Linked DNA regions of Tamandua tetradactyla. The protein of the gene in region 2 interacts with the protein of the main gene of each other region in a pairwise test. Links are inferred from orthologs where the notes say so. Each region holds a gene or a part of one and is shown on either strand. Other genes may lie near its edges.

Region 1 (7,157 bases), on a different chromosome or scaffold from region 2:
CTTCTTGAGACTAATCATCGGACTTCTTCAAAAGTCTTCTTCCTGAAGACAGACCCAGCCTTTGTGGCTTTCATTCTCCTCTCTGGTACAGCTGCATCTCTCTCGGAGGAATGAGGGGCTGCAGGAATCCCTGGAGACCTTGGTGCTTCACGATGCTGCTTGGGTGATTCTTGTACATAATCTTGTGTGCTCACCAATGATTTAAAGGAATCATGGTCAGAGTTGTCATGGGAGTGGTGGTCACTTGCGCTTCAAACCTTCAGTGAGAGGGTGGGAGGGAAAGAATGCTGAATCTTTTTTGGACGGGATGGGGTTTTTCTCTTTGTAATTATTTCTTTAGTTTAACCTTTTGGTTGTTTGTGCAATATTATATATTTTAAATTATAATGCATCTCCCCAGAATATTTTGTAGCTGGGAAAAGAAAAAAGGAAAAAAAAAAATCTAACAGCTGTTAGTTTTGTAATTAAAAAAGAAAGAAAAATGAACTTTGTCCTGAACCTTTTACAGACTTGCCGTTAACAGCATTAAAAAGATTCAACAGAAGCTGGAAGGTGTCTGGGGATCTGTCCTTGTCCCCCACAGCAGCTGCACTGGATCCAGGGCAGGTGTACATACTGCAGGGGTGGCTTCAGCTTGGAACCTGATGGGGGAGGGACAGAGTAGGGAAGCAGCCTGGGTCCTGAGGAAGTCCCTTGTCCTCATCCCAAACTCAGCTTGGGCTTTGAGGTGAGGAAGGGACAGGCCCCCCAGCAGGCCTCTCACCAAGACAAGGAGTCAAAGAGGCCGTTTCTGCATTCCCAGTGCTTCGGCTTTTATTTGGAAAGGAAGTTGCAAGAACAGTATTTCAATTGCTCTTGGTCATTTTTCTCTCTTTTCCTCCCCCCGTGTGTGTGTGATTTGGGGGGTTGTTTTAATTATCTAGTTAAACACCATGAAAACCACTTATCATGGTAAAGGAGAGGTCTAAATGAGGCCCTTTGGTTCCAAGATCTTAAAGGGAAAGAGAATTAAGACTTGGGGGAGGGGGGGTGTAAGTAGATTTAGGGTAAACTTAAAAGTGTAAAATATATATCACCATTTAGAAGCAGGTTTTTGAGTTTGCTTTCTCCCCCTGCTTTATTGGGGAGGACTTGCTATTGCTTTTATCAAGTGTTTGCTAGCCATGGATGCCAACTAACTTCTTCGATTGAAGGCCGGAGGATCGTGTCTGGTTCCAGGAGCCGCTTGAGCAGGTCCTGGCATTCGGCCGAGATGCCCAGATGAGTGGGGAAGGACACCCCCTTCTGCTGCTGCCACAGCATCTTGGGGATGTCTGTGTCATCAAAAGGTAGGCTGGCACAGAGCATGACATACAGGACTACACCCATGCTCCAGACGTCACCCTTCCTGCTGTCGTGGGGAATGCCCTGCAGCACCTCAGGGGCGGCATAGGCTGTGCTGCCACAGAAGGTCTGACTCAGCTCCCGGCGTGACTTAGGCAGCACCTTGGCAAAGCCAAAGTCAGTCAATTTCAGGTTGAAGCCCTGCAGCAAGGCGTTCTCGCACTTGAGGTCCCGGTGGGCCACACCACAGCCATGGCAGTAACGGATGGCCTCAACCATCTGACGGAAGAGGGCCTTGGCCCGGCTCTCGGGCAGTGGCCCCCCATTCAGCACGCAGTCAAAGACATCCCCTCCCTCAGCCAGCTCCATCACCAGGTAGATTTTCCCGTCAGCAGACTCCAGCATCTCATACACCCGGATGATGTTCTTGTGGTCCAGGGTACGAACAATCTGGAGCTCCCGAGGCAGGAATCTCTGGATAAACTCTGAGGAGACAAAGGGAGTAGAAATGGGGAATCAAGTCCAGAAGGGCCTAACTCCCCACTACCATCTCCTGCCTTCCTCCTGTTTGCCTGTCTGCCTACCACATCTGGGTCTTGTTCCTTGGCTGCACTCTGCAAAGAATATTCACCTCGGTTATTCTTATGGTTAATATAATATGCAGGAAAATTACTCCATAAAGATGTGGGCAGCCTGTGTGGGATCAAAGTGCCTTGGAGACTTAACAGACAAAGCCATTGGACCTCAGTTATGGGGTCTGATTTGCCCACAGGAGTGAGCTAGCTCTTCCCATGCCTGCTTTCCTACCACCGTTCTTTCCATGAGCTGGGTCTTCCTTTTTCCCACCTCTGCCTGGCCTTGGCACTGGCTCCTGCCTTCTGATATTCCTGGTTGTGGCCTCTGCCAGTGTTTGTTCCCCTCCTGGAATAGGAAAGATCTGATAGCTCAGGTTCTGCTTCTGAGGACCCTTCATCTCCTGCCACTTCCTTTAATCTTGGACTTGGAAGGAGTAGTGCTCCTGAACTTCGAGCATCACTCTGTTCCCCACCTTCCTACCCCAAAGCCATATCTGGCTTGCTTTCCTTGGTTCCAGAGTAAAGGCCAGGAGGGAATGATTTTTCTGACCGGAGGAAGGATCTACCCATCTCAGCCAGCCCTCCCTTCCTCCAGAGGGGCCCCAGCTCACCTTCTGGCCCTCCCATCTTGTCTATAATTTTAATTGCCACTTTTCTTTGGTGTTTTTTGGAAAATGCTTCTTTGACTTTTGAGTAGGTCCCTTCCCCAATGGTCTTGCCCAGCTGGTACCCATTGGAGAGCAGAAAGTCCTCCATGCTTCTAGCGCCTCCTTCCTATCACCCTCTCAGCTCATGCTGCCTCCACGAGGCAGCTCTACTCCACCATCACCCTTTGCCTGCTCCTTTTCCCCCCCAAGGACTTCATCCGCAGCCGCCCCCAACGCTAGAACATTCTCCGACTGAACACAGCCGCGGGTGGTGGGGAGGGAGAGGACCAGACATTTTTAAACTCCGGCCCAATTGTGATGTAAATGCTGTGTGACCCTTAGCCAAAATGGGCAGTGCCCCTACCGGCCCTCACCACCACCACCACCAAAACCGGCGCAGTTAAGTCACGGCCTCCACTCGCTCCCGCCTGGCAATGAGTCGCGGTCCCGCCCGGGAGCGCATTCGGGGTATCTGTGTGCGGATGCCTCCTTGAGGCAAGCAGCCCTAGCCTCTTGTGCTTCCACCCGGTGGCTGGGGGTCAGCGTCATCCAATCTCAAGGCGCCAGGGTCAAGCGCCCTTCAGTTCTCGGTTCCTGTCCGCGCCAAGTGCCCTGGCAGTCGGGGGCGGCGAGAGGTTCCCCGGCGGGAGGAACGGGCTCTGTGAGGTCAGCGCGCCACGGCTTAGGTCACAATGCAGCCCTCCCCCTCGACGCCCGAGCCCGGACGCGCCGCAGACACCTCCCCGGCTCCACCGGGACCGGAGCGTCCTCTTGTGGCCAGGGCTCGGGCAGCTGCTTCCAGCTGGGACCGGCCTCGGCCACCGGCAGGTGAGCAACGGCCAGGGGGCAGACGCGGAGAGAGGGCGCCTGACCTGGGAGGACCTGACCGCCACTCCCCGCGCAGAGCGCCCCGGGGCCAGGACATGAGTGCCCAGGAGCCCCCGCGAGGTCGGAGATTCCCCATTGAGGCTGGAGACTCCCCTGGTCTTGCTGCTGCCCCCGAGTCCCAGGACAGCCCGGAGCCAGTAGCTACAGAGCACAATCCGGTCAGGTGAGGCCCGTGCCCCCACCGCGAGACCCGTCCTACGCCCAGGCCCTCCCCACCGCCCGGAGGTGTGCCCCCATAGACTGCTGCCCAGGTACATCTCCCTCACCGAGCCACTCCCAGCTCTACTTTACCCCTTTCTTCCCTCGGGTTTCCTGCATCTCACGCGCCATCCCCGGTACGCTCCCCAAATTCACACCCGAACCTCGGGGGACGCCAGGTGTGCTCCCGGGGTGGGCCAGGCTCCCGATCTCCTGTCGCGCCCCGCCCTCTCCAGGCCGCTTCGACGTTGCCCGGGCTGCCACTGCCTGACACTGCTGCACGTGCCCATCGACGTCTACTTGGCCATGGGCGGAAGCCCCCGGGCCCGCGCCACCTGAGTGCGCCTGCGCACAGCGGCTCCGCGGGAGCGGGCGGGGGCGAGGCTCGCCGCGGGCCCCACGCTGAGGTGGCGCGCGCGGAGCACGAGACAATGATGCACATTTTAAAATAAAAGAATGGTGCACATTTTAATAAAGCACAGCATAAACTGTTCTTTCCACTCCGGGCTGGCCGTGTATGTCTATCCGTCGGATCGGGTCCGCCGGCTGCTCGGCACCATCCAATAATTCCTTCCCTTCCGCCGCCTCCCCGCTGGGCCCCGGCCCTCCTGGGCCTGCCTTCCTCTGGCCCAGCGCCACACCCAGCCCACCCGGCATCCAACTTCCCACTCTTGTGGAGCCCTTCCTCCCTCTGCATCCTCTCCTCCGCCCTTTCCTTGACTCTCCAGTGAACTTCGCGTTACAAGAGCAGATCTGTACGAGAAGCTCGGGACTGGCGGGAGAGGTGAACGGACAGCTTAGACTAAAGGGAATGGCCACCCACTACTTGCCCATTTAATTCTCCCAATTAGGTTCTCCCACCTACTGCTTTGTCACCCTGGACACCTCTGACTTGGTCGGAGCCGTCAAGGGCTGCCCCAGTCCATCCTGAGCCTTGATTTCTCGGAGGGCTGGTGGGACTACAAAAAGAGCTTGGGAGTGAGGTCACTTGAAAAACTGGTTTCTTAACTTCCTATTTTACAGGTGAGGGAACGGAGCCTGGGACCCCCGACGGTCCGCGGTGCCAACCACACTCACCGTCCTCGGGAAGGCTGGCGCCGACCCACCCAGGAGGTGCTCCCTACACGAAGGCTGCCAGGAGAGGCTAGCATTTAAGCTAAAAGAGTATTTTCCATTTTCCAGTTTTGCTTTATTAAGAGACTGAATTACTTTTTAATTGGAAAAAGCATAACCCAAGAGTCAGATTCAGTCTCCTCTCACCTGAGATCTAAATACAATTGACCCAACACCCCTCCCTCATCCAGCTGGTACAAGTCCAGGCCCTCCCTAGAGCACTTCAGAATCCTACCATCACCAAAAGGGACACCCTTCTCAATTTCCACACAAAGTGCTCCCCCAGAGAGTCTCAAATGTAGGAGGCGTTATTGGAAGGTGGGTGGAGGGGGATTGCCAAAAAAAAAAAAAAAAAAGGTAAACTTCAAAATAAGAACTTTAGACTTGACTCTTGCTTCTTTGAACATCCTGGCTCTTGAAAACCCCTCCATGCTTGCCATTCCCCTTTCCAGAACAGTGTCCAGCTTCTGCCGTAGTGCCAGCTCCTCTCTCCTGCTTCACTCTTCTCCTTCCCCACCCTTACCTTCAGACTCAGTGCTGCCCACTGCTGGGTGGAGCAATCCAGCTGCTTCCATCCCCACCACCAAACTCTACTGCAGGCCCTACTCAGCCTGACTCCCCATGCTGCCGCTCTCCCACCCCAAAGGGGCCTCTTTCTCTGTAAATAGGACTCTCTCACCTTAGGAAGCTGTGGTCATTTTAAACAGAAAAAAAATATTGGCCTCTGTATTGACAAGTTCCCTCCACTGCAAGCAACAGAAGATAGTTTATGTTAAAAAAAAAGGGGGGGGGGGGAATTCACTAGTTCAAGTAGCCAGGAAAAAAACTAGTATGGGCTAGTTCAAAGGATTAAAGAATGAATTGTGGGAATCAGGACATCTATTGGACTGGAACCAAGAGTTCAGGTTGACCAGAACCCTGCTCTGTTCTTCTCTTGTCCCTGACTATCTCCTCTGAGCAGGAAGCCCTAGAAGGGAAAGCTGCTTTCTCTCAGCCTCAGTTTCCCTGTCCCCGGGAAGGGCAGCGATTAGCCCTTCTTAAATCACATACACACCCATTGGACCAGTTACCATGGCAGGGAGATGGGAAATTACAATTGACCAGGCAGGCCTACCCTTGAGGTGGGAGCACAGCCAGGTGATTGACTGCATCACCAGGAAATGAAGAATAGAGATGGAGAAGAAACATTCCAGGAGCGGGAACAACTTCTGAAAAAACTGGGTATGCCTGGGACACAGTGAGCTGTTCCCCACTGGAGGAAACGCCTATCAAGAAGGGGTAAAGGCTGTTCTAAAATAACTTCAGCATTTTAAATAAGAATCACAATGACAGTAGAAAGCTAAACTATGGACATGTCAAATGGTTTGTTGATTTCTTCATTTTAATGGACCTTTATTAGAATGCGATGTGTTGAAACCTTTTAGAACTGACCAAGAGATGAATGATATCCCATGTTTAATTTGCATTTTCTCTGTCCCAAGTTCTTACACTATGTCTTGTGGGGAGAGGGAACAAGGGAGGGTTTTACTTTTTTTTTGAAAAGTTTGAAAATATCTGTCAGATTTTATTTTCATTAGTTATAGTGAACTTATTTTTAAAGTGAAAAAACAAGAAGTAGAGGGCGCTGAGGCCTCACTGTTCTGAGACAATGAGGAACCTTAAACAGGTGCACCAGGAGGCTGGCCACTGAGCTGAAGTACAGGCTTGTTCCTAAATCAGTCACCACAGGTGTACCAGGCAGGCCTGTACACTTAGGGATTCAGTGGCAAACCTGGCAGACCCAGGCCTTGCCCTCCCTCACAAGACCCATCATCCAGCAATAACCTGCTGGGGGCCTCAGGTGAGTCACTTCCCTCTGGGCTCATTTCCTCATTGGTTAAAAAAAAAAAAATGGCACCAGATGGATACTAGGGACCCTGTCAACCCTGAAATGCTGAATCGTTCTCATTCTCCCATTCTCTCTTCTCTCCCTCACTTTCTTTCTCCCCTCTTCTCAACCCACCTTTCATTTATTGCTACCTCCCACAGGCTTGGTGGGTGAGGGATGCAATGATTCCAGATACAGCCCTTGCCATGGGAACAGACCCTGGGAATAGTTAGCTCTAGAATGTCCACAAGCACGGATAAGGGCATGCCTGGTAAAAAGAATATTGTGGACAAAGGCCCTGAAAGTGGAGGAAAAGTTCAAGCTCAATCAATTTTCACCAATACCCACCTAGGCCAGACCAGATACTGGGAACACAGGCCAGAATCTGACAAATCCCATGTCCTTGCCCTTGCAGAGCTCACAATTCAGGTGATCCAGGGATGGGTTAAGAGAAGAGAAGCTGGGTCTGGGGGCCTTCGAGCACCAGGTTCAGGAGTTTAGAATGTCGGCAACAGGAAGGACAACAGGCTCCAGCCCAAGCTACTT
Region 2 (7,590 bases):
TGTAATAGGCATTGTGGGGAGATGAGAAGTCAAGATTTGGCTTTACCTTTCTAACCATTCTATCCCATAGATCATCCAATCCTTTAACTAAGTAAAAGTTTTAAAAATAATACTATTTGGGGGGCAACATACATCACATTTAGTACCAAAGCTAATGCAACAATTTTTAAAACGCAGCCACTTGATTTGGGCACATACTAGGACGCTTAACAAATAAATATTAATTGGTTGAATGACAGACCAAGGTATCTATCTAATTAATACCCTCTTCATTCTCTGGACACACACACTTTCATTGGCCTCAGGAATAAAGTAAATAATCCTCTGGTTTTTTGTGTTTATTTTTAAAGCACATTCATGAGTGTAGAAACAGACCTGTGGCACTTGATTAATGACAAAGGCTGTTCTGCAGAGAAGTGGAGAAAGGGGGACCTTTTCCAAAAATGGTCCTAAAACAACTGAATATACATATGAATAAAAATTACCACCTGAACCCCACCTCCTTCATACACACAAACAAAATGTCTTCTAGGTTGATTGTAGATCTAAAGGTAAAATAACAAAATTTCCAGAAGATAACATGGGAGAACAGCTTAGAAAGCACTAACCTAAAGGAAAAATTATTCATTAAAAAAAAAAACAATAGAAAATTAGACAAGGGACAAACAAGCATTGCACAAAGAGAGTATCCAAATGACCAATAGATGTATAAAATATGCTCAGTCTCATTAGGAATCAGGAAAATGCAGATTAAAACTACAGAGAGTTGTGTTACATCCACCCACCAAAATAACTAAAGTTTAAATGAATAACAATATCAAATATTAGAAAAAAAATATGGAACAAGAGGAACATAAAATGCTGGTGAGAATTTAAATTGGTATAAAGACTCTGATAGTGTCTACCAAAGCTGAACATATGAACACCACATGACCCAGCAATTATACCAAAAGGTATGAACAGGAATAGAGCAGAACTATTCTTAATAACCCCAAACAAGCCAAATATCTATCAAGAGTAAAATGTATATACAAATGATGTCATTGTTCACACAGTGGAATACTACAGAGCAATGAAAACATACTACCTGCCTCCACAGATAGCCACATGAACAAACCTTATAAACATAATGTTGAGCAACAAAAGCTAGTCAGGAAAAAAATAAACACCAGATGTTTTCATTTGTAGAAAGTCCAAATGCAGGTAAAACCTAACCATAGTTATAAAAACCAGAATAGCGGTTATCTTTGGAGAGTGAGGATAGAATGATCAACAGAAAAGATCAGAAGTAGGATTGCTAGATAAAATATTAGACACCCAGTTAAATCTGAACTTCAGATAAATAATAAATGATTTTTAATATAAGTATGTCCCATGCCATATTTGGGACATGTATTTTTATTTGCTAAATCTGGCAACTCTAGTTATGGATTACAATTCGGAAGTACTGGTAATGTACTATTTCTTAATGTTCATTTTGTGATCATCCATTGTGTATTTTTCTGTACATATATTGTACCACACAATATAATAAGTTAAAAAAAAAGCAAAAGTACACTCAGTACATACAGCCTTGCAAATTTTAAAATAGCACATCCAACCACTGCTTTTCTTTCCCACACTTAATGTTCTATATGAAAGCTATGATACTTCTGCATGAGGTGCAGCAGTAATCCGAAGTGTTGTCTGGCCAAAAGTTGTGGGCTGTACTTTCAATCTTTATTAAAAATCATTTCTTTTACAGAGCATGCTTCTTTACTTCCAAACTCTTTTTTTTCCCCATACCCATCCTCCCCGGATCCATTCTTATTTGAAGGACTGGCTTAATACCACCAAAGGCCAATGCTATGCTGAATGGCCAGCCTCTCCCCATCAGCCAAGAAATGCCCAAATCAGTACAAGTCAGAAAGAGCAGACCCTATGTAGGGGTCAGAATCTAACGGCCTAAAGCTACAAAGAAGGGGGTTACTCTAGGGCTAACAACTTGGATACACTGTCCTGAACACATAAAGCTGAATGCTTCAATTGGCCACCTGGTTTCTAAATTTATCAGAGGTTTAAGTAAATATCCGGAAGGGTTTCATTTAGTTCTCTTCCATTGATCTATTAGTTACCTTCTCCTTCAGACACAACTGGCAAAACCAAGTAAAGAGTAGTGACCAATGCAGACAAAAGTCCCAAGCACTTTTCTTCTGCTGTTTAAATAAGGTGTTATTTATTGGCAGAAGTTCATCAACGCCCAAGGATTTTTGTGTGTGTTTTGTTTTGTTCCTTCATCTTGCTTTGAAATGGATCCTCCCGATTCTGAATAAAGAAAAATTTCTCCACGTTTGGATGCCACCCTGACCTTCAGCCCCCTTGAGGTTTCTTCGCTTTACTAACAAGTACTATATTTATCTCGTTCACACAGTGATTTGAGGAAAATGATTAGGTTCCCTGGACTATGAGACTGTGTAGCTTTGGACCAGTGAGTGAGGTCGCTCTGTACTTCAGTTTCCTGAACTGTAAAATGGGAATCAACATAGCATCCAATTCAAAGGGCCGTTGGGAGCATCAGATGACGCGTAAGGCGATTAAAGAACAGTGCCTGGCACATCTTAAACGCTCAACAGTAATTCTTAAGTATTTTCATCATCACTATCGTCTTCACTACCTTCAAGGGTCCTGCCACCTGTTAGGACTCATGTATCTGATGTAGGAAAAGCCCCCAGATGCAGTTGGGGGAGGGGGGAGCGGGTGTAGGCGAAGAGGTAAGGGTTCCACTAGGCTATAAAGTTGAGGCAACCCTCAGGAGAAGAACCAACGGCAGGAAGCCTGGGCCGGAGCTCTGACACCGGCTCCCTAGCTACTCACATTGCGGTTAAAGCTGTTGCCGGGCAGCAGCGGCAGAGTCATGGCTCTGAGCGTCGGAGGGTTGAGAGAGAGAGAGAGAAGAGGGGCGGCCTCTAGGCCTCAGGTTGCGGCCGCCTAGGGCCGCGTTGTTTGGCCCATCGGTTACCTGGAGACGGGAGGCGGTGTCACAGAGGGGGTGGGGCGAGGCTGGCGGGGGCGGAGAGAGAACCTCCCCCTCACTCACCACCTCCCTCCCGCCCCGCCCCGCCCACCCACACAGGCGCTCAGCCGAGAGCAGGTCTCCAGAGTCTTTTTCTCAGTCAATGCTTTGTGCACACACAAAGGCTGACAACCGCACCACTTCCCGCCCCCGCCGCTTTCTGGTTTAACACTTTTATAGATCCCAAAGCCTTTCATGTACTTAAGAACCTTCCATCCTTGCCACAATATTTTTTACCGTTTGGTTCTGAAATTGAGTTATTAAATAGGTCAAACATACAGAAAATAATATGGCACCCGTGTACCGACTGAGAATTAACATACATTAATGTTTTCCTATGTTGCGCTTGCATCAGCTTTAATTAATGGAAGACATTCTAGATGAATCTAAAGCCACACATACCCCACCCATCCCCCACACGAAAATTTATTCATTAGCCACCATCCTCAATCCTTCCCCTGTGTATTTTTATATTTGAAGTAAACATTTGTAAGTAAGATGCTCATTCTTGGTCCAATCAGTGGGGTGAAGCAGCACAAAAGGCAGCCCATCACTCCATCCACCCAAGATGCCCAAGGCCAGGAATTTCCGCGATTCCTCTCCCCACACTTAAAGCTAATGCCTCGCCAAGTCCTACTATTTGGATATTCTAGTAGCTTTTAATTACCACTTCCTTGATCTCAGTTGAGCCCCTATTTTTCCTTGCCCGGTTTTCTTCTTTAAAAAAAAAATAATAATCTAACTGATTTTGCCTTCAAAACCATCATTTAATACTTTTGTAATTCATGATGCACCTGTTACTCTACCATTTAACTAGTCTATCCTTCCTTCCACCTTCAGAAGGCAATCAAACTCCTTAACCTGATCTAAAGAGCCTTTCTCAGAGGATACCTGCTGATACTCTCTCTGTCCCTTTCATTGCCATCCCTCCTATTCCAGCTCCGAAAAAATCACTAGTAATTTCCAAATCAGGTCCTGCAACTCCTCTGGGGTTTTGCAGATAACATGATCTGCTTGAAACACCCTTCCTGCCTATCTTTCACTTGCATAATCCCTTCATGTCTTTCAAGACTTGGTTCAGTGTAAGAGAGACACATAGAAGACTCTACCATTTCTGTGACATGTTCCCTCACTTTCTCCAGCTCACCTCTTATGTGTATTAGGGACTGATCCATAATGTGGTTTTTATCCCACTATGTTGTAATCATATGTTCCCCCAAGTTCCTCCAAGGGCAGGAACTATAGTGCCTTTTTTGCTTTCGTTTGTTTTGTTGTCCAAATTAAGACATCAAGAGGAAGATACCTTCTCTGAGGAAAGGCTACCGGCATCCTGGGTTTGGTTTATTGGTTTCATGAACATTAAAGTATAAATATAACAAACTACTTGGAATCCTGGGTAGAACATGAGATTTTGTTGGTTTGTCCAGACTGATGCCCCGATGAATCCCACAGGGATTTGATCAGTGAGTGGAAAAGTATTTGCAAAATCCCCTTCGGGGAATGATGAGAACGGGGAGAAATTCAACTTCCCCAAGTTGAATTCTTGATATTCTCACAAGCAGTGCGGACAACCAAAGGCTGGGCCCCCAGTCTTGGGGTTTGTTCATATGAAACTTAACCCCATAGGGGATAGGTCAAGCCTACTTGAACTTAGGCCTAAGAGTCACCTCCAAGAGAGCTTCTTTTGTTGCTCAGATGTGGCCTCTCTCTCCAGCCAACACAACAAGCAAACTCACCACCCTCCCCCTGTCTATGTGGGACATTACTCCCAAGGGTGTGGACCTTCCTGCCAACGTGGGAAAGAAATCCTAGAATGAGCTGAGACTCAGCATCAAGGGATTGAGAAAAACCCTAGAATGAGCTGAGACTCAGCATAAAGGGATTGAGAAAACCTTCTGGACAAAAAGGGGGAAGAGTGAAATGAGACAAAGTGTCAATGGCTGAGAGATTCCAAACAGAGTCAAGAGGTTATCCTGGAGGTTATTCTTATGCATTAAGTAGATATCACCTTGTTATTCAAGATGTAATGGAGAGGCTGGAGGGAACTGCTTGAAAATTTAGAGCTGTGTTCCAGTAGCCATGTATCTTGATGATGATTGAATAATGATATAGCTTTCACAGTGTGACTGTGTGATTGTGAAAACCTTGTGTCTGATGCTCCTTTTATCTACCTTGTCAACAAACGAGTAGAATATATGGAATAAAAATGAATAATAGGGGGAACAAATGTTAAAATAAATTTAGTTTGAAATGCTAGTGATCAATGAAAGCGAGGGGTAAGGGGTACGGTATGTATGAATTTTTTTCTGTTGTCTTTTATTTTCTTTTTGTGAATTGATGTAAATGTTCCAAGAAATGATCATGATGTTGAATATGCAACTATGTGATGATATTGTGAATCACTGATTATATATGTAGAACGAAATGATCATAAGAATGTTTGCATTAGTTTATTATGTTTTTTTAATTTAAAAATTAATAATAAATAAATAAATTTTAAAAATAGACCATATCTTTTCTGGGGTACATAACAGATTCAAACCAGCACAGGATCTTTTGCTGATGTTTATATTGGCAAATTTGTGATTATCTAATTTATTTCTAGCTTTTTTATGTCCTCGATGACTGCTTTTAAGCATAGCAAAAATCTCACTATTGGTAGTTTGTCTTTTAATTCCATTTATTGTACATAAATTTGATATTTTATTCTATTCAAATGCATCTTTCATTACCATTATGGTTTGTGCTTTGTATGTGAAATCAGGAAATCTTGTACTACTCCTAAAGAAGTTATTCTCCTACTTTTTTTACAAACATCTTTAAATATTTATTTTTGTTTGTTTTTAAATTGAAATAATTTCAACATTATAGAAATGTTGAAAGAATAATATAAAAAACTCCTGTTTACTTTTCACTTGATTCCCCCAATTGTTTCATATTTTACCCTATTTGTTGTATTATGCTCTCCCTATATACATATTTTTTCCATTTGAGATTAAGTTGCAGATATGCCCTTTTACTCCTACATAATTCAGTGTATATATCCTAAGATCAAGGGCATTCTTTCACATCACTGAGGTGAAATTACCAAAATCGGAAAATTGGCATTAATACAATGCCATTTTCTAACCTAAAAAGCACTCAAACTTTGCCAACTGTCTCAATAACGTCCTTTCTAGCAGTAAATACGGAAATACATAAAATCTGGTTCAGAATGTAATCAAAGTTCACACACTGCACTTGGTTGTCATGTCTCTTTATTCTCCTTTGATCTATAATAGTCTTCAACCTTTCTTTAACTTTCATGACCTTGATATTTTTTACGAGAATAGGCCAGATATTTGGTAGAACATCCATCAATTCAGGTTTGACTAATGTTTCCTATTGAGTACATGCAGGTGATGAATTTTGGACTGGGACACCACGGAAGGAGTATTGTGTCCTTCTAGTTTATCATATGAAGAAGCACATAATGTCTATTTGTAACATCATTGGTGATCACTTGGTGAAGGAGATGCATGCCAAGTTCCTGCACTGTAACATTTACAATTTTTTCCTTTTTAATCAATAAGAATTTTGTGAGGAGATACTTTGAAATTATATAAATATCAAGTTGCTCATTAAACTACTAGTATCAATTAATTATTTTTCCTGAATCATTTATTACCATGATAGTTGCCAAATGGTGATTGACTAACTCTATCACTCCTTCTACATATATTATTATATTTGACATTCTCCTACAAGGAAGAGTTTTCCTTCTTCTCCATTTATTTATGTCAAAGTGATCTCACAGATTCTTATTTTATTCAGTGAATTATAATCCGCTAGTATTCTTTATTTTGATTCTAAAATTGTCCAAGATTGTCCTCTGAAGCTGACTCCTGTGTTCTTTTGATCATCCCCACTATTTTTTGAGCACTTCCTTTTTGATGCTATAAGATACTATTCCAGCTCATTTGGTAGTTTCCCTGCCCCAACCCTGGAATAAGCCATTTCTCCAAGTATCACTGATTCCTTTTAGTGGAGAATGGTAAATATTTACCTACTTGTTCAATACTAGAAGACCCAAGAAGCAGTTTCAGAACATCTAACTCACATTCTTGTGAAAAATAAGTGAATAACTAGAGTTTAATATTTTCTCAGTGTTTTTTTGTTTGTTTCTTTCATCTTAGTGTATATAGTCATAATATTTTGTTCAAAATTTACTTAGGTTAGCCTTTGCCCTCTATCCCAGTTTCCCCCCACACCAGCTAAAGTGTTTATACTACTCATCTGAAAAACATTTGGAATCATTCACTTCTGTTTGCATTCCATGTTAAACTTTTATTCTTCATCTTTGTTTCTTCTTTGTCTTTCTTATTTGATACAGTTGTTTTTCTCCTTTTTTGGTTTGATGAATGTAGCTAGTGGTATATCTATCTATCTATCTTTCTATCTACCTATCTACACATACTTTTTTCCAAAGTATCAGAATTTTGACTTATTAATTTGACCTATTCATTTCTATTCTTAATCCTCATTATTGTTTGCTTTTA

What was found. The genes of interacting proteins can lie anywhere in the genome.
Region 1: the proteins of EFHC2 (region 2) and TSSK3 interact in binary tests that used the Homo sapiens proteins (3 or more experiments, as listed by UniProt). The two-hybrid records come from large-scale screens. The link is inferred for Tamandua tetradactyla from reciprocal best matches to the Homo sapiens genes EFHC2 and TSSK3.

What each region holds. Positions count from the first base shown.
Region 1 is NC_135328.1:193,531,429-193,538,585, forward strand, and holds TSSK3 (testis-specific serine/threonine-protein kinase 3), read right to left. Parts: upstream 2,904-7,157; 5' UTR 2,655-2,903; coding exon 2,510-2,654; intron 2,245-2,509; coding exon 2,131-2,244; intron 1,809-2,130; coding exon 1,147-1,808; 3' UTR 571-1,146; downstream 1-570. UniProt on the Homo sapiens protein: Serine/threonine protein kinase required for spermatid development and male fertility.
Region 2 is NC_135353.1:127,137,077-127,144,666, reverse strand, and holds the start of EFHC2 (EF-hand domain-containing family member C2), read right to left. Parts: upstream 3,017-7,590; 5' UTR 2,896-3,016; coding exon 2,854-2,895; intron 1-2,853. UniProt on the Homo sapiens protein: Microtubule inner protein (MIP) part of the dynein-decorated doublet microtubules (DMTs) in cilia axoneme, which is required for motile cilia beating.